Caenorhabditis elegans: one gene and its partners. The protein of the gene in region 1 interacts with the protein of each later gene in a pairwise test. Each region holds a gene or a part of one and is shown in the gene's direction. Other genes may lie near its edges.

Region 1 (9,621 bases):
TTAATAATAAACATTTAAAAAAATGCAAAATTTATTAGAACAACACAAACAAGAAAAACAACAAATTGCGAACAAGAGAAATAACGAGGAAAAAAATTAAAGGAAATCTTGCTTGGCGACAAATTCCTTCGCATAACCATCATCAGCGATCTGGCAACTCGCGGAGCAAGTGTACACGTACACGGAAGCCCAGTCGATAGATTGACCAATAGCATCTACATCGATGAGCGACAAGAGATGTGGCATAAGCTGCATTTCGAAACGACGAGGAGCTCCACAAAGTTCACATGGTTCCACAACTTCTGGCAATTCAGAAAGGCCAGTTGCACGGAGTGGCTGTCCGTATCTCTTGTATCTAATAATCTGATCGGGTTGCAAATTGACAAGACGGTTGAATTTATCAAAATCGATATCTTTTGGTTGCTCGGCGGTGGCTTCATCCAAATCTTCCTTTGTCATGTCAGCGTTTTTCTGAAAAAGGAATTGAGAAATTTAATTGTTTTTTCCGGCGTCAAACTAACCCCTTTGTTCTCCTTGACAAATTTCTCAAATTCTCTGATTCTTGCTTTCTTCTCCTCTTCAGTCTCATCCTCATCATTTCCTTCTTCCTCTTCCTCATCGCCTTCATCATCACTAAGTCCGTCAAACAGATTTGCTGGCATATATTCCTGATCAATTTCTACACCGAATTCTTTGAAACAAAACGCATTTCTTGGATTTTTCGGTTCATCCGTTATGGAGCCATCTGTTGCCGCTTTAGCACATTCGAGCTTGTGAGCAGGCCAGTCGATGACTTGATGAGCTTGAGAGCAATATCTGAAATTGTGACATATAAGGTGTGAACAAAATTTACCAGAATTTCGTCTTTCCGGCCAGAAATACTGTAACTGGTCTCGATACGACAAATTTTTGTTAAATGCACAAAAATGTGAGCGCCTTTAAGGGGTACTGTAATTATAAATTTGCTGAATTTTCATAGATTTTCCAAAGTTTTCCGAAGATATTTGTATTAATTTTTTTAAACTTTAACAAAATAATTATATTCGAGAGAAGAAATATTAAAAGTCAATAAAAATTCCGCAGCAAGAAAATTTTGGAATTATAAGCCTAATTAGAGTACTAATTAGAGTAGGCACACGCCTTTTTGCATTTAACGGAGAATTTTTTATTCTGGACGCAACATTTTTCGTATGGGTAACTTCTCTCACCTCGCCACTTGGCACTTGGCACATTTTTTCGCAGCGGAACATCCACAGATTCGACACAATCCGGGTCCATCAGCCGGTGCACGTGGATCAGCAACATCTCCATCCAAATCAGGATCCATTGGTCCATCAAATGAATAATAATCATTGGCACGTGGAAGTTGGCATCGGAAGGCTTTCAGATTTGCGGCATCATTTGTACGAGAGCAGGATGGATTACGGCAAACGAAGAGAAATAGAGAACGATGAAAAGCGTGTGGAGGATCATTTATACCTCCATTTGCTGATACTTGCATCAGGAAACACAGTGGTTTCTCGCAGACCTTAAATTTGGGAAATTATTTGGTGGACGGTTGTAGGAAGTTTTTTGTTGCTAATTTTGAAAAAATTATAATTTCAGCTAAAATTTTTAATTTTGCAAATATTTCCGTATTGCTGTTTTATTTTCCATATTTTTGTAGTAAAATAAAACAATGATCAAATAAAATTAATTTCTGAACGCTGCAATACGGAAAAGTTGGCAAAATTGAAGATTTAGCTAAAATTAGGTCAGTTTCAAAGTTCTGTTATAAAAAACCTACGTTGCACAACAAATCTGCGGATTTTGGAAGATTTTTTGGATTCAACCATGACGGTTTTCCTCCTATTTTTCCGAGTGGAAGAAATTGCGAACGTAGACGATACAGATCATCTGGCTCGAATTGAACTCCGAATCCCAAGTTTACTGGTTCATCTGAAAACGAGCTATTTTCATGCTGCAAACAAGATAAAGAGAACGGGCAGGAGACTTAGTGTGTATTTTCTTAAATTTATTGGTTAAGTCCGACTTGAAGAAATTTGTCAAAGAATTTAAATTTAAATATTTCGATTGATCAATATACAAGAAATAAGGCATTATTGATTGGGGAAAGTGAAACAGAAAAAATTGCCGAGAACCATGAATGTCGGTTTGCATTGTGTCTTCTAGTCTTGCTTGTTTTCACGCTTCTTGCGATCTTCTTGTTTGGTAGCAGCGAAGAGCCAGATACCCAAAACCACGTGGACGAGGACGACAGCAATGATCGCAGAATAGGTCAAAGCGTCGTTTGCACTGACACCCAGGAGCCCTGAAATAGGAGAGAAAATGGAATTTTATTCATTTTTCAAAAATTAAAAATAATCGGTAGAACAAGCTCTGTACCTTCGAAAAAGAATTGTTTCAAGAGGAACATAGAAGCAAGAGGAACGATGAGAATCACAAGACTATACGTGAGAAGGTTCTTGACAGCGGATTGGACTTCCTGATCACGAAAGTTCGGGAACAGAGTTGCCATTGTTGATGGTTCGGATGAAGAGGAAGTGGTCATTTCGCTGCAAACAACTCGGTATATCCATGGGTTTAAAATCAAATAATTATTATTGGAATAAAAAATAAGATTATTAAGGGGAGAATAGGTTCATACCAAGGTTTCTGGGAGAATCTTACCGAAAATTTGTTTTTTTTTAATTAAAAAAAATCCCGGATATCCCGAGTTGAATCCAGCGGCGCCAAAAGTAAAGGAAATCAAGAGATACAAAATTTGACAATTTCAAATTAAAATATAGTAAAGCGAAAACTACGCTTCAGAGAGAAAAATTCAATTAGTAAGGAAAAAATATAACAAAAAAAATTTATTCGTTATGTACAAAAGCATCTAGCCAGAGGCACTAATATAAATAGAACGGGTCGAAGTGATCACAAATAAGTAAACGAGGTCCAAACGGGAAGTGAATGTTCAGGAGGAATTTTTGAAGAAGATAATACACAGCCACGCTATTCTTTCTTTTTCTCTGCTCTGAGTTTGTCTTCGGCGTCTTTCTCTTCTTTCCATGCAATATAACAGAAAGCGGCAGCAATGAGAATTACGACCAAGGCAGCACATACTCCGGCATAAAGCATGGCTTCTGCTGGTGGTAAATGGAAGTGGTCTGAAACAAATTATCTATAAAATTGATTCTGGAAAAGTCCACTTACCGATGAATACCCAATAATACAAGCTTGCCATAACAAGCAGTGGAAGTGTGAACATCATTGCAGAAAATGCGATGAGCAGAGTTATAGCTCTATTCGAATGCTCTGCTGTGTAGAATTGTTCTTGATCGGGTCGAATCGGTGCTTTCAGTGCCTCTTCTACTAGGTCCTCACCGTCTTTCTCTTTCGGCCGATTTGCGTCGTCTTTAATTGACTGATCAACGAATGGAAGCTTCATCTCCTCTTCAACTTCATCATCTTCCTCTTTCGCCGATTTGTCAGCATTGTCATCCTCGTTTTCACTGACAGATTGACTACCTAAACTATTAATTCACTAAACAAAAAACATATATTTGTAAAATACCATTTTTCTTTTCATCAACAGCTTCAAAACTATCTGAAGTGCTGGATTTTCGTTCAGCTCCGTCGATCAGCTCGAAGTCTTGCTCCTGTTCTGGAGTATCGCTCATTCTGGAAAGATTTAAATACAACCGAGGAACCAGAAGAGCGCATGAAAATATAGAGCGTGTAATTTAACGTCAGTTATTGACAGAGAAAATAGAATTACGAAAGACCAAATCGGGCAACGAGGAAAACGTTTAACACAAACACAACACTGAAAATAAGCAAGAAAAGGAGGAAGTTATCGGAAAACCGAAGAACTTTCAACTTCGGAAAGAACCGTTTAATTTATGTTTAAAATCAAACAAAAAATTCCCGAAACATCCCTTTTAAACTTTGATTTTCACGAAAAACAACGAATGACCGAAAAATGTGATCAATCTCTGAGAGTGTGCACTTTTGCGTGACGGTGAACTGTCCGCGTGCACCAGATTCGACGCGCAAAATAATCGGCGCGAGGTTCGAACGAACGTTCGTGAATTTGTGGGAGCGGTTTTTAATGTTTAAAAATCAGTTTTGGTTTATTTTATTTGAAAAAAAAAACGATAAAAGCTATATTCCAGCAGTATCTAAAATGATCTTCTTTTAATATTCTAATTTTAATGTTTTAAAATTCATTTTTCGCTGCAGCAAAAAGTTGGTGTTTGCGTACAAAACCCGCGCCAGTCTTGAAAAACGCACGCATTATTTATTCACATGTTTCGCAATATTTCCATATGAACTTCTCAACATCACCAATTTAAATTAAGTTACAGGAATGCCGCCTAAAAAGGTATCTCCCGGGATTACCGTAATCCTTATCGACGCAGGATCCAATATGTCTGTGAAAGACACTGAAACTGGAAAAAGTGCATTTGAAAATGCGATCAATGCTGCAGATTGGATTGTTTCGAGAAAAGTGATACTAAAATTCGAGAAAACTTTCAAAGAAAAAATTGTTTTCAGCTATTTTCCAAAGATCCCGAGCTCTTCTCAGTGATGGCCTACAATTTGGATCCGAAAGAATACAAAACAGAAGTTGGCGGTCAAACATTTAATGGAGTCCAGTGTCAAAATGAAAAGTTTACACCAGCCAGCTTTGATCATTTAAAGTTTATCACAAAGGAATTGCAGCAAAATACAGAAATGATAGATCCAAATTGTGAGAGAATATCCAAGACAAATTCAAAAATCCTATTTATTTTTTTCAGTTTTCAAAGGTGTTCTGGGAGCCGTCGCAGTGCTAAAAGATCAAATCGAATCGTATCCGAATCCATCAGGAATCACGTTGATTGTACTGACAAATGGATTAAACGAGAACATTCGACAAGAAAATTTCGATCTTTTAGTTGAAGCCGTTAGTGAAAGTAATGCAGATTTGATGATAATGTAAGATTTTTCCATTTTAGCGTTGAAAAAAAAATACTTATTCCAGTGGAATCGATGAAAATCCAGAATATCCTGCTTCTCGAGTTGCAGAATTGGCAGAAACATTAGAAGGAAGAACATATACTTTTCAGTGAGTTTTTAAAAATAAAATTGGCGATTTTTGCGCCAAAAATACGGAATCTAGACACGCTTTTTGCGAAATGTTCATCGATTTTCCATAATTTTTCGTTAAAAAAAACTGAAATAATGGTTTTTAAAAACACATAAATATTATTTGAGAAATCTTTAAAAATTCCACAACAACGAAAATTTAAAATAACAGTACCCTTTAAAGGAACACGCTTGTTTGTATCTAACAATAATTGTCGTGTCAAGACCGGCTACCGTATTTTCGGCGCAAATACTATAACATTTCGCGCCTGGAGTAATATCATCATAATTACAATTTCCAGAAACGTCGCAAAGATGCTCTCCACCTTCCAGGCTCGTCAGAAATCCGAGAGAAAATACAATAAAATGTGGGATGTAAGAGTTTTTGAAGAAATCTAATCTAATACAATAAAAATAACGTTCAGATTGCTCCTGGAATCCATCTCCCGGTGATTTTTGCTCTAAAATCTGAAAAATCTACAGCACTACTCAAGTTCAAAAATGCAGATTCCGAAGGAAATGAAATGGTTCGATTGGAACAAATGCACGTGGAAACTGACGAAGTTGCTCCGAAAGATGAATTCAAATCGCCGGTTCTGGAAGAGAAACCGAAATTTCAGAAAAACTTTAAACCCGTTGAAAATATAAAAACTATGCATGGTAGTGAAATTCTAAATTTTTTAAAATCTATTATTAATGCGTCAGGCTACAATTTCGGAAAATCGGTTATCATGATGGACCCAGAATATCTTAAAGAAAAATACAATGATCATAATTTCAACGAGGGACAGACTGGTGGAGTGCTAAAACTGATACAGTTCACGAAAAGAGCAAATGTAAGATATGACATGGTCTCGCAACGACGGAGAATGTTAAATTAGAGGCGACGAAAAAAGGGTGTGCGCCTTTAAAGAGTACTGTAATTTCAAAATTTCGTTTCCGTTGAAATTTCATCGATTTTTCACAGTTATAACACGATATTTTGAAATTTGTATTTTAAAATAGACAAATCATGGTCATTTTTTTGAGAAAAAAACCGAAAAACTAATCACGAAATTTTACCAAAAAAATCTCATTTCAGATCCAGTTGTCACAATAATAATTCCGACCAAAAACAAATTTCTCCGAAAAAATCGGTGTCTTACCTCTCTTCTAAAATTAGCATTTTTGAAAAAAAAATAACGTTTTTTTTACTTTTTGGTTCAAAATCACAACAAAAGAAAGATAGCCATTCATAAATCGCAAAATTTCGCATCTCATAATTGTAATAATTATTTCTAGATTCTCGACTCATATCTCCTCGATGCCAGCGCGAAAACAGTACTTCCTGCTCTCAATTCACCAAAATCAGGTGCCACCAAAGCTACCGTATCCCTCATCGAAGCAATGCTTTCACTTCGAGTCGCTGCCATTTGTCGATACACATTCCATGCAAAATCTCATGTGCAACTCATTGCTCTTCTACCACATCAAGATGAAGAAACTGGCGTTTTCTATCTAAGATCAGTGAAATTACCATTTTCCGATGATATGAGAACATTGAAATTCCCGAAATTCTCATTTGACGAGGAAGATGAAGATTTGAATAAGCCTACTGGTATATATTCATTCAGACTTTTGAATTTAACAAAAAACTAATTAAATTTCAGTAGCTCAACTCTCCGCTGTAGATGACCTTATCGATTGTATGCAATTACAAGAAGATGAAATGTTTGAATTTCAGAAAAATATTGTCCAATAAAAAATTGTTTTCAGCTCTTCACTGGTCGAAGGTGGAATGAGTGATCCAAAATTGCAGATGCAATGCCATTTTCTCAAAAGTTTAGTTCTACATCCAAACGGTACATATTCTTGTGAATTCGGTTTAAATGAAATAATATTATTGTCATTTCAGATACCTTCGAAAATCATTCCAATCGAACCAATCAAATTCTCGATCAAATAATGGCACCGAAACGCAGAGTCGAAGCAGAACATCCGGAGATTTTCCAGAAGCTTGGCCGCGAATTCAATCTGCAACCAATTCAGAAAACCAAACGAGAACGGGTTACGGTAGAGCCTGAAGATCTGCAGACAATGATATCCGAATGGACGGAGAAAAAACAGAATATGACACAACCAGATGAGGTAGATGATGGTGCAAGTCAAAAGAAAAAGAAAAAACCAAATGCAAAGAAATTGACGAGAAAAGAAGAAGTTCAAATGGATATCATGGAAGATGGCGGAGCTAGTCGTGTTTGCTCGAAAATTCTTGAAATGATTTCAAATACTTGCAAATTTCAACCAAATGGAGCAGTTACTGAGTTCTTTACGGTATTTTCAAAAATAGATTTTCAAAATAAAACTTTAAATTTTAAATTTACAGCTTCTCGTCAATGAATTGAATGTTATTCGCTCAGTTTTCGTTGAAAACTCAAAATGTGACGAGTTCAATGAACTTCTCAAGAAGTTGAAAGACGAAGAAGACTTTGAACCATTTGCTGAAGTTCTTTCTGAAGGTACTACCATTTCATGTCCACTTTTCTGCCATTCCTCATTCAACAAATTTCAGAAAAATCATGCAATCCAATTGATTCTTCCGAAGTCAGCATGTCAGAAGTCTCCGTCGCCAATGCTGCCGAATTCTGGGAAGAAGATTGAGCATTTTTATTTTATTTTATGGCAATGTATCTCAAATAACTAACTACAATCATTTTAAAGCTGTGAATGAACTGAAATGAAAATAAAATCATACTACCGTATCATGGTGATCACCCAAAGAACGCTTTTTAATGTGAAAGTCAGCATTTTTTTTATTTAGTACGTACAGTGAGAGGAAAAAGTAGGGAAAAGCAAGATGTAGGCTCGTAGGTAGGCGAAAATGTGATGTACCCAAGTGTATCGGTAGGCAGACTGGTAACAATAACAGAGAAGTACTCAAACATCGATCTTAATGTCTACCGACTTGTGTGCATAATGCATGCCTATAGGTATACCTATGCACCTCCCACAGGTTTCAATGCCTAGTTTATCGCCTACATCTAGCCAATGTGCCTGCCTACTATCTTTGACGGAGTTTGTGCCACTAAAATGACGACTCAGGTATTCACAAATTTAAGAAACAAGTTCAGTTTATTCAAATCTTCAATTTCAAGTAATAGATCAAGTTCCGATGGAAGTTTTAATCTTTCTCCTTTTTTCACTTCTTCTCGTATGCTTCCAGTTTATCGAGTTGATCATCTGGGCTTCTATCGCCGGTTGTCTTCTCCCGCTCACTTGACACTTCCCAACCGATTTCCATCTCTCGTTTCTCAAGTCTTTTAATAATTGCCAGATTCTCCTCAGAATCAATATCAGAGAGTGGTTCGACTTCAGATCCAGACGAGAGGGCCACTTCATCTATAACAAGAGTATGACCAACAATTACAATAATAATAAAAAATACCTTTAACAGAAAGAGCAACTAGATTCTCATAGTTTCTAAAATGTTCTCTTTCCTCTTGATCCAAGTCTTCGAAAAACTCAACTTCAGAATCCTCTTCAGACTTCAGACTCCATTTGAACTTCCTCTTCTCTTCTCCTTCATCAGTTGCACACGTAGACGAAGTCCACGTGGATAACGATGTGGCAGACGTAGAATCATATGAGCCTGTCATTGCCGACTGTGTACCAGTAAAATCATGTCTCATTCCCAACAAAAACTCGCGGGTGATCAGTCCGCGGCTGACCTTTTTTCCTCTTCCCGGCTTCGGCTTCGGTGGTTCAGATAATTTCTGAAAATTATAAATTTTCAAAGACTCGTTTATATTATCGCGACGCAGAAACTATAGTTTTGAAATCAAAGTTGGTACGATTGCGCTCCAATGAAAACTCTGCTCACCGGAATTTATATATCGTTAGGTATTGGCGTCAAAAACGTAAATTAAAATTTTCTACTAAAAATTTGAATTTCCGGATTTGCCGCCAATAAATAGTTTCATATTGTCGTGGAGCGCAATTGCACGCACTTTGCTTTCAAACTGCGGCATTCTCTATTTACGTCTCGAGATGGATCCATAATACTTACACTCTTCTCTTCTTCAGTTTTGTTCTCCTTTCTATCCTGCTTCTGTTTCTCCGGATCACCTTTCGCTCGACCTTTTTTATTCTTGACAACATCGGAAGGAGTTGAACGTCTTTCGACACCAATCATCGCCTCCGTTGCACCATCATCATCCTTTTCACTCGACGGATTCCTTTCTGCGGATTTTTCCTTTCTCTCAGCTGATTTCCCAGCCTTCTTCGGTTTCTTTCTCCCATCAGATGAACTAGCTTCTGACATTGGCGAAGAGGTCTGTTCGGTGCAAGAAGATGTTTCAGCGCTTGACCTCTCACAAGAATCCTTCTTCTTCTCACTCTTTGATTTTCTTGCTGCTGCACTTTTCTGTTCATTCTCCTCATCCGATGCCTTCAAATTATCGTGATCCGATTCATCAGCTGCATGCCAATGACCTTCTACTAGATCAATCGCATTATTCGTGTAGAAAT
Region 2 (6,737 bases), 1.0 Mb from region 1:
TACGTTTTATCACTAAATTTTAATGAAAACTATCAAAAGAACATGCCAAGCTGGCTCATTTTGATATAAAATCCTAAATCTGACCTTAATATCTCCGAGTCCACGTTCCTTATTCTCCTTGAGATCCGAATAGTACTTATAAAGCTTGCATCTGGCGGAGAACATGACCTCCTCGTCCTCTTCACCAGTTTTCACCTCAACCAAATCCGGAAGAGGAATAACTGGCTTAAACTCGACTTCTGGCTCATACTCCCCATCTCCATCCTCATTCGTCTCATCACCATCGTGTGAAGTTGCAGAAGTCGTGTTCAACGTGGTGTTCTTGCTCCCGAAAATGCTTGCCTTCTTCTGAGCAGCAAGTTCTTCTTGGGCCTTCTTGACATTTGCTGCGTCGAAAATGGAGCCAGATTTGGCAGAGTTGGCTGAAAGGGCAGCGAATGTTGCACCTCCAGACGTGAATCCACTACCGAACACGGATTTTGGCGTCTCGGACTGTTTATTTTCTTCTTGTTTAGCTGGTGCAGTCGTTGATGGAGTCTGTTGCTTTCCGAATGAGAAAGTTGGCTTTGGGAAGGCACTTTCAGAATTCTTGGCGAACATAAACGACGGAGTAGTAGTTGAAGAAGCTGTAGATTCAGTCTTGGAGAGTCCACCTCCGAACAATGAATTTCCTGGAGTCGTAGAGGTTGCCGGAGAAGCAGTTGAAGCTGCAGGATTGTTGAAATTGAACGATGGGGTAGTTGCATTGACAGCGGCAGCTGGCTTGTTGAATGAGAAAGTTGGAGTATTAGCAGCACCTCCACCGAAAACGCTTGTTCCCTTTGGTGTTCCACCACCGAAAATGCTACTGCTAGTGCTTGGAGATCCGCTGAGTGATCCACCGAACTGAGATGTTTGAGCAAGAGGTTCCTTGGCTGGAGCAGATGCTCCGAATCCGAATGTCACTTTTGGAGTTCCTGGGGCAGGCTGGAGGATCGAAGGTCTGCAAATTTAAATTTTTAATTTTAAGATAACTCAAATAGAATATTTACTTAGAGAATATATTTTTCTCTTTGACAGATCCGTCTTTCGATGTCCCACAACAGGCACATTCAATCTCGTCAGCTTTGCAAGTAACATAGCATCCAGGGCATTCCCAAGATCCTGGTTTTGGCTTGAACTGATCTCCAAATCCAGTCTCTTCCGGTTTGTTGTTTGATGGAATCACAACTTCTTGCTTGACTTCCTTCTTCACCTCAGCCGCCGGCTTGATTTCCTTGTCGATGGTCTTTCCAGCGTTGCTCGATGATTTTGCCTCAGCGACAGCCTTCTCGAACAAAGTCTTAAACTCTCCAGCGATATCGACGTTAGCGAAACGAGCGGAAAGCTTCACGTGAGCTGGCTGATCTTCGGAAAAGTCCTCGCAGAACCATGTGTAGGCCTTCTCGTTGGATTTCATTTGTTGAATGGTCATCGAGCCGAGAATTGGGAAATTGGCACAGACTTTGAGAACCTGTAATTTATTTTAATGCTAAATTAAGGTATTTAAATTTAAATTAAGATCTTTCTGTTGAGGAAAACGCCGAAAAATGTGAAAAAAGCTGTAATTGGAATAACCTGAATATTCCAACACAATTCTTCGGTTCCATTCTCAATATTTGAAGGGAGTGTCTCCTCCGAAATGGTCACCTGGTCTCGTCGCATAACAACTCTCCACGACTTCTTGTCCTTGTTGTAGAGAACCTTCAGCTCGCCGGTTCCTCGCTCCTTCCATTCCTTCGTCTCGTTGGCATAAATGTAGAGTTTTGAACGATTGCAGAACATGGTTTGCTCTCCTTCTTCTCCAGTTTTCACCTCGACAAGATCTGGCAGTGGAATGACTGGCTTGAACTCGCCCTCTGGCTCGTAATCCTCATCATGTTCTTCGTCTTCATCATCTTTAGCTGCTGGAACCACGACTGGGGAAGCAGTTTCAGGCTTTTTACCGAAGATTGAAGTAGCTGGATTGGTCCCGCCGAATGAGAATCCGGTGGTGGCTGGCTTTGGAACAACTGCAGGCGTTGGAGTAGAGAATGTTGGCTTAGCAGGTGGAATTACAACTTCTGGTGGAGATGTCTGAAAAATATTGAATTTTTAATTGCTGGAACTAAAACCCGAAAATTTGTTACCTTTGGTGCAATAACTCCAGAAGCTGGAACTGTCGATTTTGCTTGTGCTGTAGTGGCGACCAGTGGCTGTGTAACGGGAATAGCTGGCTTCGCAGCATTGAGCAAATTAGCCATAACTTGGCTTTGGGCCTGTGCTTGGGCTTGAGCTTGAGCGTGAGCATGAGCTTGAGCTTGTGCTGCCTGCACATGAGCCATCTCCATTTGTCGCTGAAGAATCAACATTTGCTGTTGTTGCTGAAGCTGCTGTGGAGGAATCATTGAGCCGAGAGGATTCGCATCACGAGCAAGAAGAGTGTGTATAATTTGATGAAGTCTCTCGAGCTCTTTTCCGTGATTAGTGCTCAAATCGGACAACTGCTTCTGAAACCGATCCTCGGATCGACGAATATCATCGCGAAGCTGGGTGACGCCGGTCTGGTGCTCAATCTGTGAAAAATAAGTATTAAATTGAGTTTTTCATGAATCGCATACCTTCAACGAGTCCATGCTTTTGATAAGCGAGTCAAACTGCATTGTCATCAACTGCTGCACATCCACGACGCTGGCGACAATGCGCCCCATATTCTGAAATACCGTGAATCATGTTGAGCAACATTCGAAAAGATTCACTTACCGGCTTCTGATCGCTCATTGCGAAAGGAGAGCTGAAATATGAAAAATATCAGGTAAACAATTCAAGAGACTTCAAGCTAAAGCGAGATAAAAAGACGAATACTGCGGTCTCTTTAGTTGAAAATTAGCAGCAATACTTCAAAGAATTCGCGCCAGGGATTTGAATTTCGAAATTTCGCGCCAACGCTTTCCCTGCTTAAAATAGGGCTTTCCTACCTTTAAAACTAGTCTTTTCTGTATAAAATATGCTTTTAAACGCACAAAAAATGTTTTCCAGCTATTTTTCGTAAAAATACGGAAAAACTATGGCGAAACAGTCTAAAATAAATAGAAATTGGGCGCCAAGCTTCGCAAATTTCGAAAAAAGTTCAAATTCCTGCGCCGTGGCGAGACCCGTTGCGTAAATCGACACGCGCGCCTTTAACCATGAGTTGGCAATTATTCATGGAAAATACCGGTTTTTCAGGCGAAAAACAGGATTTTTGATATTTTCCGTCGTTTTTTATGGCTTTTTCGGTTTTTGAAATGTCAATTTTGCCTGGAATAGCATTTATTATTCACTTTTCTCAGCGAATTTATTGATTTTTCATCAGAAACTTTCAAAATTGTGTTTTTTAGTGATTACAACAACAAAATGGAAGTAGACACAAGCTCATCGTCATCTTCAGAGGACGAATGTGACCCAAGCTCTCCGAGCACGGCATATATCCACTCAGCGTGAGTTTTTCGCTAAAAAACACAAAAAACAAACTGTTTTTTAAATGTTTTTGTTTCAAAATTAACATTTTCTGAAGTTCTAACAGCAGTTTCTAATCCGATTAATTCCAGAAGCGTACGATTATCCGTCGGAACAGAAGAAGCGGCTCGAACCGTGGCAGATGTCATAAAAATCGATAAAGAGCCGAGAAGAAGTGGTGCTCGACGGGAAGTGTGCAGCGAAGGCGAATTTGTAGTCATGTAATAGTTTTTCTATTCGAATAACTAAATAAATAAGTTAATTTTCAGAAAAATCGAATCAAAAGATCCGAAATCATTGTCAAAATCCATTGCCAACGCTGTTGATATGATCGATTTGTCCGTGAAAACTATCAAACTTTGTGAAAATCTGGGAAAATCGAAGGAAAACGGATTGAAAAGAAAACTCTCAAACGGATCTCAGGCTTAATTTGATTAAAATTTGTTATTTTTTCTGTTTTTGTTTTTTGAAATGAATTTTTTTCAACTTTTCATGATTTTTTCTTCTTAAAAATATGGTTTTTAACCTTTAAAATACTTTTTTTTTCGATTTTATTGCAAATTCCCCACTAAAAAATCGATTTTTTCAGGTTTAAATGTTCAAAAACCTGAAAAACCGGCTGGATAATGAAGCCGGAAAGCTTAAACAATCAGCTCAGCAGTATGGAGAACAACTCGCCGCTCAAGTTGGACAATATCGGCAGGCGATGGTAAAAATCCACTGAAAACTGAGAAAAAATCGATAAAATTGCAGAATGAGCAGCCTGCTGGCAGTGATGCATCCGCGTCGATTTCTAAAAGATTCACCGGAGAATCAGGAGAAACTAAAGCTGAAAATCCAGCAAATACCTCTATTGTGAGAGTTTTAACATGAAAAATTCTCGAAAAATTGAATTTATCGTCGAAAAACTATTATTTTCCAACCATTTTCGTGAAAATTTCCGGAAAAATGGATTTTTACTGTTGAAAAACAATTTCTTGTGAGATTTAGTTCGGAATCCAAAAAATGTACCAAAAACAGCAGAAATATGCGAAACAAAGAGATTTTTAAATAAAAATCTATTTCCAGCAGCTGTGAGACCGTTAAAATGTACGAATTTTAAGGTTTTATTAAAATTTTTCGCCATTTTTTCGAAGTTTTGCATCAATTTAATTGCAAAAAAAATATATTTTTTCCGCATCTAAATCACATTTTTGTATGTTTTCCATGTTTTTTACAAGAAAACTCAAAAAATACCAAAAAATATTTTTTTTTTCATTGGGAAAAACCATTAAAAATCAGAGATTTCGTTGAAAATGGTCACATTTTTACGAAAATGATCGAAAATGACTTTTTTTGTCGAAAAATTTAAAAAAGAGGAAATCCTGTTTCTCTTAAAAAAGAATTTTAAAAATTCAGAGAATATCGAAAATTAAAAAATGTAGAAAATTGATACGAAAATTAAATTTTTTTAAATAAAATTATGTTTATAATTTTTTTCTGAAAAAGAAAAAAATGTCAAAATTTGAGCTATTTTTTTCCAAAAAAATCGGAAAAATAAAAATTCGGTTTTCCCGAAAATCGATAAATTCGCAAAAAAAAAAATTTTTTATGAGAAAATTTTTTTTCTTCTGAAAAATTAGAAAAATGTCTGAAATTTAAGCTATTTTCAGGAAAATAATGAAAAAACGTTTTTCAATTAAACACACAATTTTTATCAATAAAACAGGAAAAACATGTTATTTTCATCTAAAAATAAGAAACAAATGGTCAAACATTTTGTAAAAATCTCTCTGAGACTCAATAAATTTCCAGGAATCCTCGTCAGCAATAATGTCTGAAATCCCTGAAGCTGATCTTCTAGGCCTCGGACTTTCATCAACTGAATCTCCATCAAATCGTCGACGTCGTTCACCATCTGAAGATTCAATACATTCAAATGAAAGTACACTTGCTGCATTACTTCAATCAATTCCAAATGCAATTTCATCTGCATTAGAAACTATTCCTTCTGACTCTGAAAGTGTTGCTAGTGATGCATTTTCTGTTAGATCTACTAATGATCCGGTTAGTAATGGAAAATATGAAATAAATCCATGTTTTATAGACTTTATTCGAAAATTAAATACAAAATTAACTAGAAATAACATAAATTTAAAAAAAAACCTTTTTTTTTTTTGAAAATTCTACTCGAAAAAAAAAAGATTGGTATTTAGAAAAGGATAATTTTTTTTTTACTGATTTAAAAAAAAATTCCATTTTAAAAAAATCAAAAAAAGTTACAAAAGTGTTGAAAACTAACCTGGGTGTCAAAAAAAAATTCTGAGACAGTTTTGAAAAAGAATCTACGAAAAAAATATTTTCTTACATATTTCCAAATAAAAAATTCCAAAAATGAAATTTTTATATTGAAAACGAACCGAAATTCAATTCACAAAAAAAGTAACGAAAATTTACGAAAAAATAACAAAAAAATACAAAAAACCCAAAATTTCCAAAATTTACAGCCCAGAATTTACAAAAAAAATACCCGAAAAATTTAGAGAAAATTAACTAAATTTACAAAAAAAACCAAAATTCAAGAAAAAACCAACAATTAAAAAAAAAATATTGTCAAAATTTACAAAAAGTAACCAAAAAATTAAAAAAACTAAAATTTACAACAAAAAAATAACCAAAATTCACGAAAAAATAACCTGAAAATTTCAAAAAAAGAAGACAAAAAGTTACGAAAAATTACGAAAAAAATGACCAAAAATTGCTGAAAATAAAAAAAAAACAAAAAATATCCAAAATTCAGTTTGGGAAATTAATTTTAAAAAAAGAAAACAGAAAAATTTTGTAAAAAAAAAAAATTCAAAAGTGACTAAATTTTGCCAAGCCACTCGGGTTTTCATTAGAATTTTAAAGCATACATTTTGAAAAAAAGTTTTCAATTTATACCCAGAAATTTTTTGAAAAAAAAAAACTTTGAAAGGTTTTTTCAAGTTTTTTCAAGTCCAAACTGCACATTTAAGCTAAAAATAGGCCCTTTTCTCACAAAATCTCAATTTTACAGGCCTACAACTCTCGTCTGAAACAACGTTTGGCCACGTATAAAGCTAAATATCGTGATGCAGTACACCGTCATAATAAGCTCGTTGATGACGTCAATACAACACGAAAATTGCTCGAAACGACACAAGATGAATGCCTTCAAAAAGTGGAAAAACTGAGGTTGGAGAAACGAATTCTCGCTGAAAAACTCTCCAACTCGGCAGGAA
Region 3 (7,975 bases), on another chromosome or scaffold:
TTTTTTTAATTCCTTTCCTCAAAATTCCTATTTGCCATTCTTGTGTGATTCACGAGCTTATCAGTTTCATCGGCTTATCAAAATTCATCGAAACTGTCAAATAAATACCCGCGGGAAAAATTTTTCTCAAACATAGATCGCATTTCATTTTTGATTTTGCTTTTTTTTCGCTTTGGAGTTTTGTGGAGTTTAGAGCTTTGTAGCTCTGTAACTTGTAAAACTTTTAAATACTATATTTCAATTTTTTAAATTTGCTAGTATGCAAAACGCCAAATTTTTGAAAACGCCAAAGACAAATTTCAAAAAGAAATTTCAAAAAGTTTTAAAAATTTTCGTTTTCTAGAATCTCCATAACATTGTGATTTTTGTTTCATTTTTTGTAAATCTAAATAAAATTTAATTTTTTCAAACTCTTTTGAAACAATTTTTCATAGTTTTGGCATTTATTTCCAATTTCTAGTACCAATTTTTTTGAAATTTTTTTAAATTCTCCAATTTACAATTTTTTCAGAGTCCCAATAATTTAAAAACACAATTTAACCCCTCTAATTTATAATCTGAAAACCAAAAACAATAAAGAAAAAAGCAATCAGAAAAGAAAATTAAAAAACACATCAGGTTGTGCTCGGTGCTCTCATTACATCACTCCCCCTTCTCCTCCCACCGCCCTGCGGCCATTTTCTGCTCTTGATCTCTGTTTCTGGAGCAAGAAGAGCAAGAAAATAAAAAAGAAGAAGAAGTCAGCGACAAAAGGATGGAGCATGCGGAAATGGCACAGAGAAGAGAATAAAAATATGAAGAGAATAAAAATGACAAAGAAGCACTTGATGGGAGATCACTTTTTAGACACCCCCTCAAGAGAAAATATATGTAATATATAATTTAGGATAATCTGATAAGGGAAAATAAGTCTTTGAACTTGTATTCAAGACATCTCTGAAAAAAGATATAGTTTGGGGTTTCAAATAGAAAGTAATTTTTAACAAGGGTTTTAATATAATTAAGTGTCAGTTTTGTGAACATCTGTTCAATTTTGGCTCACTCGCAAAAAATACGTAAAAGCTGAAAAAAGAGCAAAAAATGTTTTCAGGTTATTTCAATCGAAATCCCAATTTGTTGAGTACTTGAGATTATCCAAAAATTTAAATATGCATATGCCACAATGTCACAACTTTTCCAAAAAATTTCCATAAATTCCAACGTGCATTCCAGTGTTCCGTGTTCCTCTTCCATCAATTTCCGAGATCAAAAGATATATGAAAAGCTCTTTCTCTCTCTCACGGCTTCTGACTCCTCTCACCACTAAACTCGATAATCTCCGAACCACGTGTCGGGCTATAAAATAGTTGAATACTTCGAGTTGCAATAGAATTTGCTTGATTTTCGCTTGTTTTTCGATTCTTAAAGTTTGAACATTAAGTGGGAATCAGGATTTTTTTGGAGGGTCAAATTTCTTCAATTTCCATGTTTGCTGATCAAGCTTCTCATTGATGTTTGAGAAAATGAACATTTCTCTTTTTAGAATTTTCCAGTCTTGAACTTTCATGTGAGACCTAATTTATTTAGTTTTTGAGGTACGGTCATGAAAACTCAGGCTCATAGGTTTTTTAGGATTTGGAATCAAATGGCATCAGCAGAATTCTTCTAAAAAATTCAGACGTGCCCACATGCATAAATTTAGGGGGTGGCGTATAGAACTTGTACGCACTGTATGATTCTGATACATTTTTGCGGTTTTAGACTCAAACTATATGTCCAACAATTATTGAAAATCGTTGATGTTTTCAGAGCTTCAATATTTTCTAAGAAATATTAATAATTTCTTACTCTAAACCTAACTCCGCATTTTCTCCCTCCTTCCCCTACCCACTCACATTCCTAGAACCCTTCTTTGTTTGGTTTCAAAGTGAGAAAAAAAGCGCGAAGAAGAATAAGAGGAGACAAAAACCCTAGGTATTTCTACTTTTCACTCCATTTTACTCAAAACTGCTCCTAGGACGTCATCTTCTTTTTTCCACCAGTCTTCTTTTTTTCTAACACTCATCATTTTGCACTTCATGTTGAGCAGTAGTCGTGAGAATTTTCAAGTTTTCCCGAGCAGCTTTTCCTGAGAAATTGCATGCAGGTGCAGTGGTTTGAGTTGTGTTTTGTAAATGTGTTGTGAATGTAGGTAGGTGTCAATGAGGAAATTGTTGTATGAACTTGAAAAATCAAGTTTTGAAATTAGCTGGCAAAATGAAAAAAATTTTGAGAAGCTGAAATTTTTGGTTTTTGATATTTAAAAATACAAAGTTATTTTCTAAACTTTGAGAGAATACATTTTCAGTTTTAATGCCCAAAATGAACTAGGTTATCACAAAAAATTTAACCAGCCATAACTGACTCTAAATTTTGATGAGAAATAATTTTAATTTACATTTTCGCAGTGTTCAAAGCTCGTAAAGTAGCTCCAAATTTTGATCATATGCTTAAAAAAAAGATAACTTTTTGAAAAAAAATTGCAAATCTTTAGGCGATGAAACTGTTTACCCGTTTTTAAAAAAATAAAATTATATCTGTACTCAATTACTACAAAAAAAATTTTACCAAAAATCGTCATGAAACAATTTCCTCCATGACTTAAAAAGCACAAGCACAAAAGTTCTTATTTTTAAGTTTAAAGCTTAGTTCATGATTCTTAGGTACTCGAGAAAGACGGAAAAAGAGGGGACAAGGACCTCTTAGCTTCCCGCGTCTCCTAAAAAAGCATTGATCATCTTCTGGACGGCATCGTGGGCAATAACAAAACAACATCTTTCCCGTCGTTCCACAACACAGAGCTACACACAGACGATGTCATCTTCAGCTGGAGACGAAGAAGATGCGTCGCTTTTCCAGAGGCTTGTCAAAAAATTTCGTTCGTATTTTTTCCAACTATTTTGCTCCTACATATTTGTCCACAAAATATACAAAACAAAACTCTTCGAAATTTTCGTTGTGAAGTGTAGAGAGCTAAGCAACTAGGAAGTAGAAAACCAGCACAAAAAAAGAAGAAGCGTCTCTACACAATATTTTCATTTCCATCCTTCAGCTTTCTTATTCAATTTTATCTTCAGCAGTACCCACCAGGCCCCGCCTATTTCGGCATGCCTCCACTCTTTTTATTCCTTTCCCAAATGTTCTTCTTTTTTTTTCAATTTTCAGTGACACTCTTGAGTTGAAATACTTGAAAAAAAAATGTGGAAAATTGTGGTTTGAACCGGAAGTCTTATCTTTCTTTGCCCTTTTCCACGTTTTTGCTAATAAAATTGAATCTCAAATTGCAGAACTCTCTTATCACATTTTCTGCTCCACATCAAAGAGAGTGTCTCCAACAAAGATGACAGGGCACTGGAGCTACTGCGATGATGATGAGTGTGGTAAGTTGACTCAAATTAGCTGTTTTTTGAACTCAAAACTTAACTGAGTGTCTCGAAAATTAGTTATGCTCAGTAGCATTTATCTACTCAGTAAAAGGAATAAATGATCAAAAATTAAATTATATTGATAATTTCACCCTATAACATGGACTGCTACATATAAACATTTTCAGTTCAGTAATAACTCTGTGAAACTGAGAAGTATTAGAATGTCCAAATTCGCAAAAACACGTGGTTTCAGAGTGCCCAATATTGGTTTGATCTTCGAAAAATGCGGGAGAACGGATGCAGACTTTTCAACTGATTTTGCATGGTTAAGAGTGTGCTGACGTCACACTTTCCTGGCGGAAAAACTCCCGCATTTTTTATAGATCAAACCGCAACGAGACAGTCTGACACCACGTGCAAAGAAAAACATAACGATTGAGTTATTTCTCGAAAAAAGTATTGTATTAATAACAAATGGTATTAAATTTAATTCCAGGACCCAATCGCTGGCCCACTGGACAGCATCAATCCCCAATCAACATTGATTTGGGAGAGGTTGAACGTAAGGATACCCATGATGGAATCAAGTTTGTCAATTATGATCATCCTATTCAAGGAGATATTGTGAACAATGGACATTCTGGTAACTAATTTTTCAAAATAACTCAGCTTAACTTTACTTATTCCAGTTCAAATGACCCCGGAGCTGCGATCGGAACACCCAGAAATCTACGGCGGCGGCCTTGATCAGGTCTACCGCCTCGTGCAATACCACTTCCATTGGGGAGAGAATGACAACGAGGGATCCGAGCACACGCTGGGTGGGCTCCGCTATCCGGCCGAGCTTCATCTCGTCCACCAGGGAGTTGAAGACCCCGGCAAGCTAGCCGTTGTTGGTGTTTTTCTTCAACTTGGAAAAGAGGGAAAGGCGTTGTCGAATGAGGAGCGTGTTTTGGGAAAACTTTGCAATCCGGAGACAGTGACTCGTGTGGAGAATGTTAGGCTTTCCGAGAAGCTGCCAGCAAACAAGAGGTCGTTCTGGAGGTAAGATCAAGGAATCTTAGCTGAATATTCTTATACTAAATTGAATCGGAACAGGGAAACCTTTTAAAGGTTTTGCGTGACTGATGTCAGCTATTAATATGATTATTTGATCTCAACATAGTTTATCCAACCTGAAATATATAATGAAGCCAGAGATCAAATGCTCAAATCTCACACTTTTCAATTACTCCTGATTCATAGTCACATTTGAAGTCAGTGCCTGAACAGTTTATGCAGGTGCAATAGCATAATATTTCAGACGATCTAACAAACATATTTCCAGTCGCATTCATTGTTTGATTTTCAGATACGAAGGATCTCTCACCACCCCGCCATGCTCGGAAATCGTCACCTGGACCATCTTCACCGAGCCAGTCACCGTCACCCACGATCAACTTGAGTTGTTCCGTCAGGTCCAGGACATCGAGAAGCGTCCCATCAAGAAAAACTACCGTCCGACTCAAAATTTGAATGATCGCAAAATCGTTCACATTGTAGCTAATTAGAATTTTCCCAGAAAAAAGTTTTTTTTTCATTTTTCAAATTTAATACCGATACAAAAATGCCAAACAAAAACTTCATGGTCCCAAGCAACTTTTGTCAAAAATCCCCGTTTTCCTCTGATTTCAACACTTCAAGCCAGCCCGATGTCTATTTTTCTTATGTAGTAATTCGCAATTTCTGCCAAATCATTGCAATATTCTAGTTACTCTGACACGAAACCCATGGGTTCCCACTCCACCTACAATTCCAACTTTGTTAACAACATTGAATAAATTTTTAGAATTTTTTGTTCATCAATTTTTCAATAAAAAGTGTGGGGTGTGACGTCACGAAGAGGAAGTAGTTGTGTTGTGCAAAATAGGGTCGTATGAGCTCAAGGGGTGACGGAACGAAATGGAATTTTGGAAAGATGTGTTATCGGTTTTTTCAGGGAGGGGTTTAATTAGTTTTTTGTCACTTTTTCATTTTGCAGGCTTTTTTTCTGTGGAAAAAAACAAACAAGTTACAGAGAAAAAAGGGTATTTCAAAATAAAATATTAAAATGTTGCAACATTTCGCTTTTAAATAACGGATGATGAGAAAAGGCTGAATTTTTGTTTTTGCTGCTCAGATCAAACCACTGCGTCTCGGCGTATAAAAGCGTCCGTTTTGCCAAAAATAATTTTTTAACACAGTGAAGCTTTTCAGTAAGGTGTCGAAACTATCACATTTGAAAACCATTGTTTGAGGAAATGTATAAAAACTACGTTGAATTCATATTTTTTACGAAACAAATTTCTATTTTTTTCAAATCTGTGAAGAATTTAGTTCAGAGGTTAACGTTTTATTAAACTGTTTTTTAAGAACTTAACAATTTTTCAGCGTTTACATGCCAAAAACAGTTTAAAAAAACACAAAAACCACATATGAAATGCATTACGTGGTGCCAGACTGTTCCATTACGGTTTGATCTACAAAAATTGCGGGAATTTTTTGCCCAAAAAATGTGACATCAGCACGCTCTTAACCATGCAAAATCAGTCGAGAAGTCTGCGTCTCTTTTCCAGCATTTCTCGAAGATCTACGTAGAACAAACCAAAATGGGACACTTTGACACAACGTGATGCCCCACTTCTATTTGGGCTGGGGTCTGTTTTGACCTGAGATTCCCTGTTACAGTCCGTGTGTGGCTACAGTTTGACATAGGAACTTCTGCAAATCTAGATAAAGTTTTTTTTTCAAGTTTGAACGAAATGCTCAATTTCTTCAGTCAAGACGCAGCTTTTGCTATTGTGAAAAGTGTTAGCCTCATTGCTACCCAACCAACAAAAATCTACAAAATCATTCACCAGTAATCCTTTCTAAAATACTTGAACTCAACACAGACTCTTTCCAATTTGATGTTAGTCCATGTTCGACTTTACGTGATAACTTTTTTTTCCAAAAAGCGAGTGTTTATAAATTTTCCAAAAGTTTTTTTTAACAATGAGACTGTGGGATGCCCTGAACGTTCTAAAATTGATCAAAGATCAAATACCTCAACTGTGGCTTTATTTCAGTTTTAAAATTACTTGAAGTTATAAATCCCTTGTAAAATTCGGATTGTTCAGAAATTGAAAGGTAGGTCGATTGTAGTTTCTTTGAAAAAAAAAGAAGCCCATTCACTTGACATTTTATTGAAAACGAGTTAAATTACATGTATATGAAGTACCGAATACTTACAATAAGTACAGGGTGAGCCATAATTATGGGGGACATGGTTGCGGGTAAACAACTGCCTACCTTGGATTTAACAAAAAATGAGCACATATATTGTTTCTTATACATTTGAAGCAAACTAGTATAACGTTTTAATTTTACATGATACCTTCCAATTTACTGAAAAACGAGCATCCAAAATTTGTGTTCAGCCGGTTTGAAAACATGTATATTGAAAATAATATCAGTTTTTGTGTAGCGTCAGTAAGGAAGTTTTTTTTGAAAACGTTCATGTGTTGCTAAAAATCAGATATTGTAGTGAACTTATCGGAAAAGGTGAGAACTTGTCAGAATCACTCCACTTCATGTTGCTTCAAGATAAAAATCGAGAAATCTACAGTTTTGTGCCAAATTTCAATTTGAATTGCACTATAGAGTGCGTTTCCATTATCTTTGTTTTTTTTCACTTTTTATTCTTTTCGTAAAATGTTCTAATTATTTGGAAGTTGATTTAATCGAGTTCGGTTGAAAATGTTTTGATTTTTCCCAAATAAAATAAATATACGTTTTTCAAGAATTCTTTCGTGTAAAAAATATGTAAAAGTGACAAAATGTCACAAAAGGTATGCGCGGGATTTTCTGTGAAACACTTTTTCATTAAGAAATTGAAGGAGAAATGGGTAACAAGTTGTCTCAGATTAAAAAAATAGAATAAGATTAATGACCAAACCGCTTGAATCTCAAATGTTTCTCATTTACATTTCCCATGATACAGAATCAGAAATTTCATTAGTTTTGTTTAGGTTTTTTAACCTCGAAATTAAACGTGGAGTACCGAAATTTGAGACTGCTAAAAATTGACAATTTTTTCCAAAACTTTGAGCGGCTATAACTTTTTTTTGAGTAATTTTCAAAACGCCTTATTACGAAATTTGGTAATTTTGGACCATTTTTTTGTATAAAAGCAAAGTTTCGAAATACGGTACTCCACCTTTAAATATTTATAGTTTTCTTTAAAAAATTGTTTAATGTAATACTTTGGCACTACCCAAAACAGCGTCATTAGTGAGCAGGGAAGTTTATCAAAGTGCTGGGCCAATGATTCGTCTGTGCTGGAAAAAGAAAAAAAAAGCACGAGCAGTATACTTTCAGTCTATAGTCTATAATATCTTCATGCCCATAGTCTATTCAGTCTATAGTCTAGCCCGGCGAGCTTTAAAAAATGCCCATGATTACGTTTACTCCTATTCACTTGTTTAAGTTGTTTACCAGTGTCTTGATAAAAAATATAGCGGCCGACATCTCCTGAGCCCGTTTTTGACAACGTTCACTGATTCAATTTTAATCTCTCTTAATTTTTTTGT

Evidence for each region. Proteins that work in one complex are often made in the same cells at the same time.
Region 2: the proteins of cku-80 (region 1) and F59A2.5 interact in a two-hybrid assay, tested with the Caenorhabditis elegans proteins (2 studies listed by BioGRID).
Region 3: the proteins of cku-80 (region 1) and cah-3 interact in a two-hybrid assay, tested with the Caenorhabditis elegans proteins (2 studies listed by BioGRID).

The regions. Positions count from the first base shown.
Region 1 is NC_003281.10:4,415,502-4,425,122, forward strand, and holds cku-80 (ATP-dependent DNA helicase II subunit 2), read left to right. Parts: upstream 1-4,346; 5' UTR 4,347-4,354; coding exon 4,355-4,495; intron 4,496-4,542; coding exon 4,543-4,738; intron 4,739-4,787; coding exon 4,788-4,965; intron 4,966-5,011; coding exon 5,012-5,095; intron 5,096-5,417; coding exon 5,418-5,490; intron 5,491-5,540; coding exon 5,541-5,775; intron 5,776-5,820; coding exon 5,821-5,951; intron 5,952-6,396; coding exon 6,397-6,712; intron 6,713-6,764; coding exon 6,765-6,825; intron 6,826-6,870; coding exon 6,871-6,956; intron 6,957-7,009; coding exon 7,010-7,428; intron 7,429-7,480; coding exon 7,481-7,613; intron 7,614-7,666; coding exon 7,667-7,755; 3' UTR 7,756-7,874; downstream 7,875-9,621. Other genes in the region: pdcd-2 (MYND-type domain-containing protein), read right to left, coding at 97-471, 522-816, 1,209-1,528, 1,787-1,938, 2,142-2,160; R07E5.19 (Vacuolar ATPase assembly integral membrane protein VMA21 homolog), read right to left, coding at 2,169-2,311, 2,386-2,551; R07E5.7 (vacuolar ATPase assembly integral membrane protein VMA21), read right to left, coding at 2,998-3,152, 3,199-3,513, 3,560-3,665; C28A5.6 (Protein kinase domain-containing protein), read right to left, coding at 8,294-8,493, 8,540-8,867, 9,161-9,621.
Region 2 is NC_003281.10:3,401,486-3,408,222, forward strand, and holds F59A2.5 (L antigen family member 3), read left to right. Parts: upstream 1-3,377; 5' UTR 3,378-3,393; coding exon 3,394-3,476; intron 3,477-3,587; coding exon 3,588-3,716; intron 3,717-3,764; coding exon 3,765-3,924; 3' UTR 3,925-3,984; downstream 3,985-6,737. Other genes in the region: npp-9 (Nuclear Pore complex Protein), read right to left, coding at 85-982, 1,032-1,492, 1,597-2,094, 2,148-2,573, 2,619-2,711, 2,761-2,778; golg-4 (GRIP domain-containing protein), read left to right, coding at 4,091-4,204, 4,249-4,350, 5,290-5,541, 6,533-6,737.
Region 3 is NC_003284.9:16,484,176-16,492,150, forward strand, and holds cah-3 (Putative carbonic anhydrase 3), read left to right. Parts: upstream 1-3,305; 5' UTR 3,306-3,358; coding exon 3,359-3,398; intron 3,399-3,882; coding exon 3,883-4,029; intron 4,030-4,075; coding exon 4,076-4,430; intron 4,431-4,737; coding exon 4,738-4,936; 3' UTR 4,937-5,222; downstream 5,223-7,975. UniProt on the Caenorhabditis elegans protein: Reversible hydration of carbon dioxide.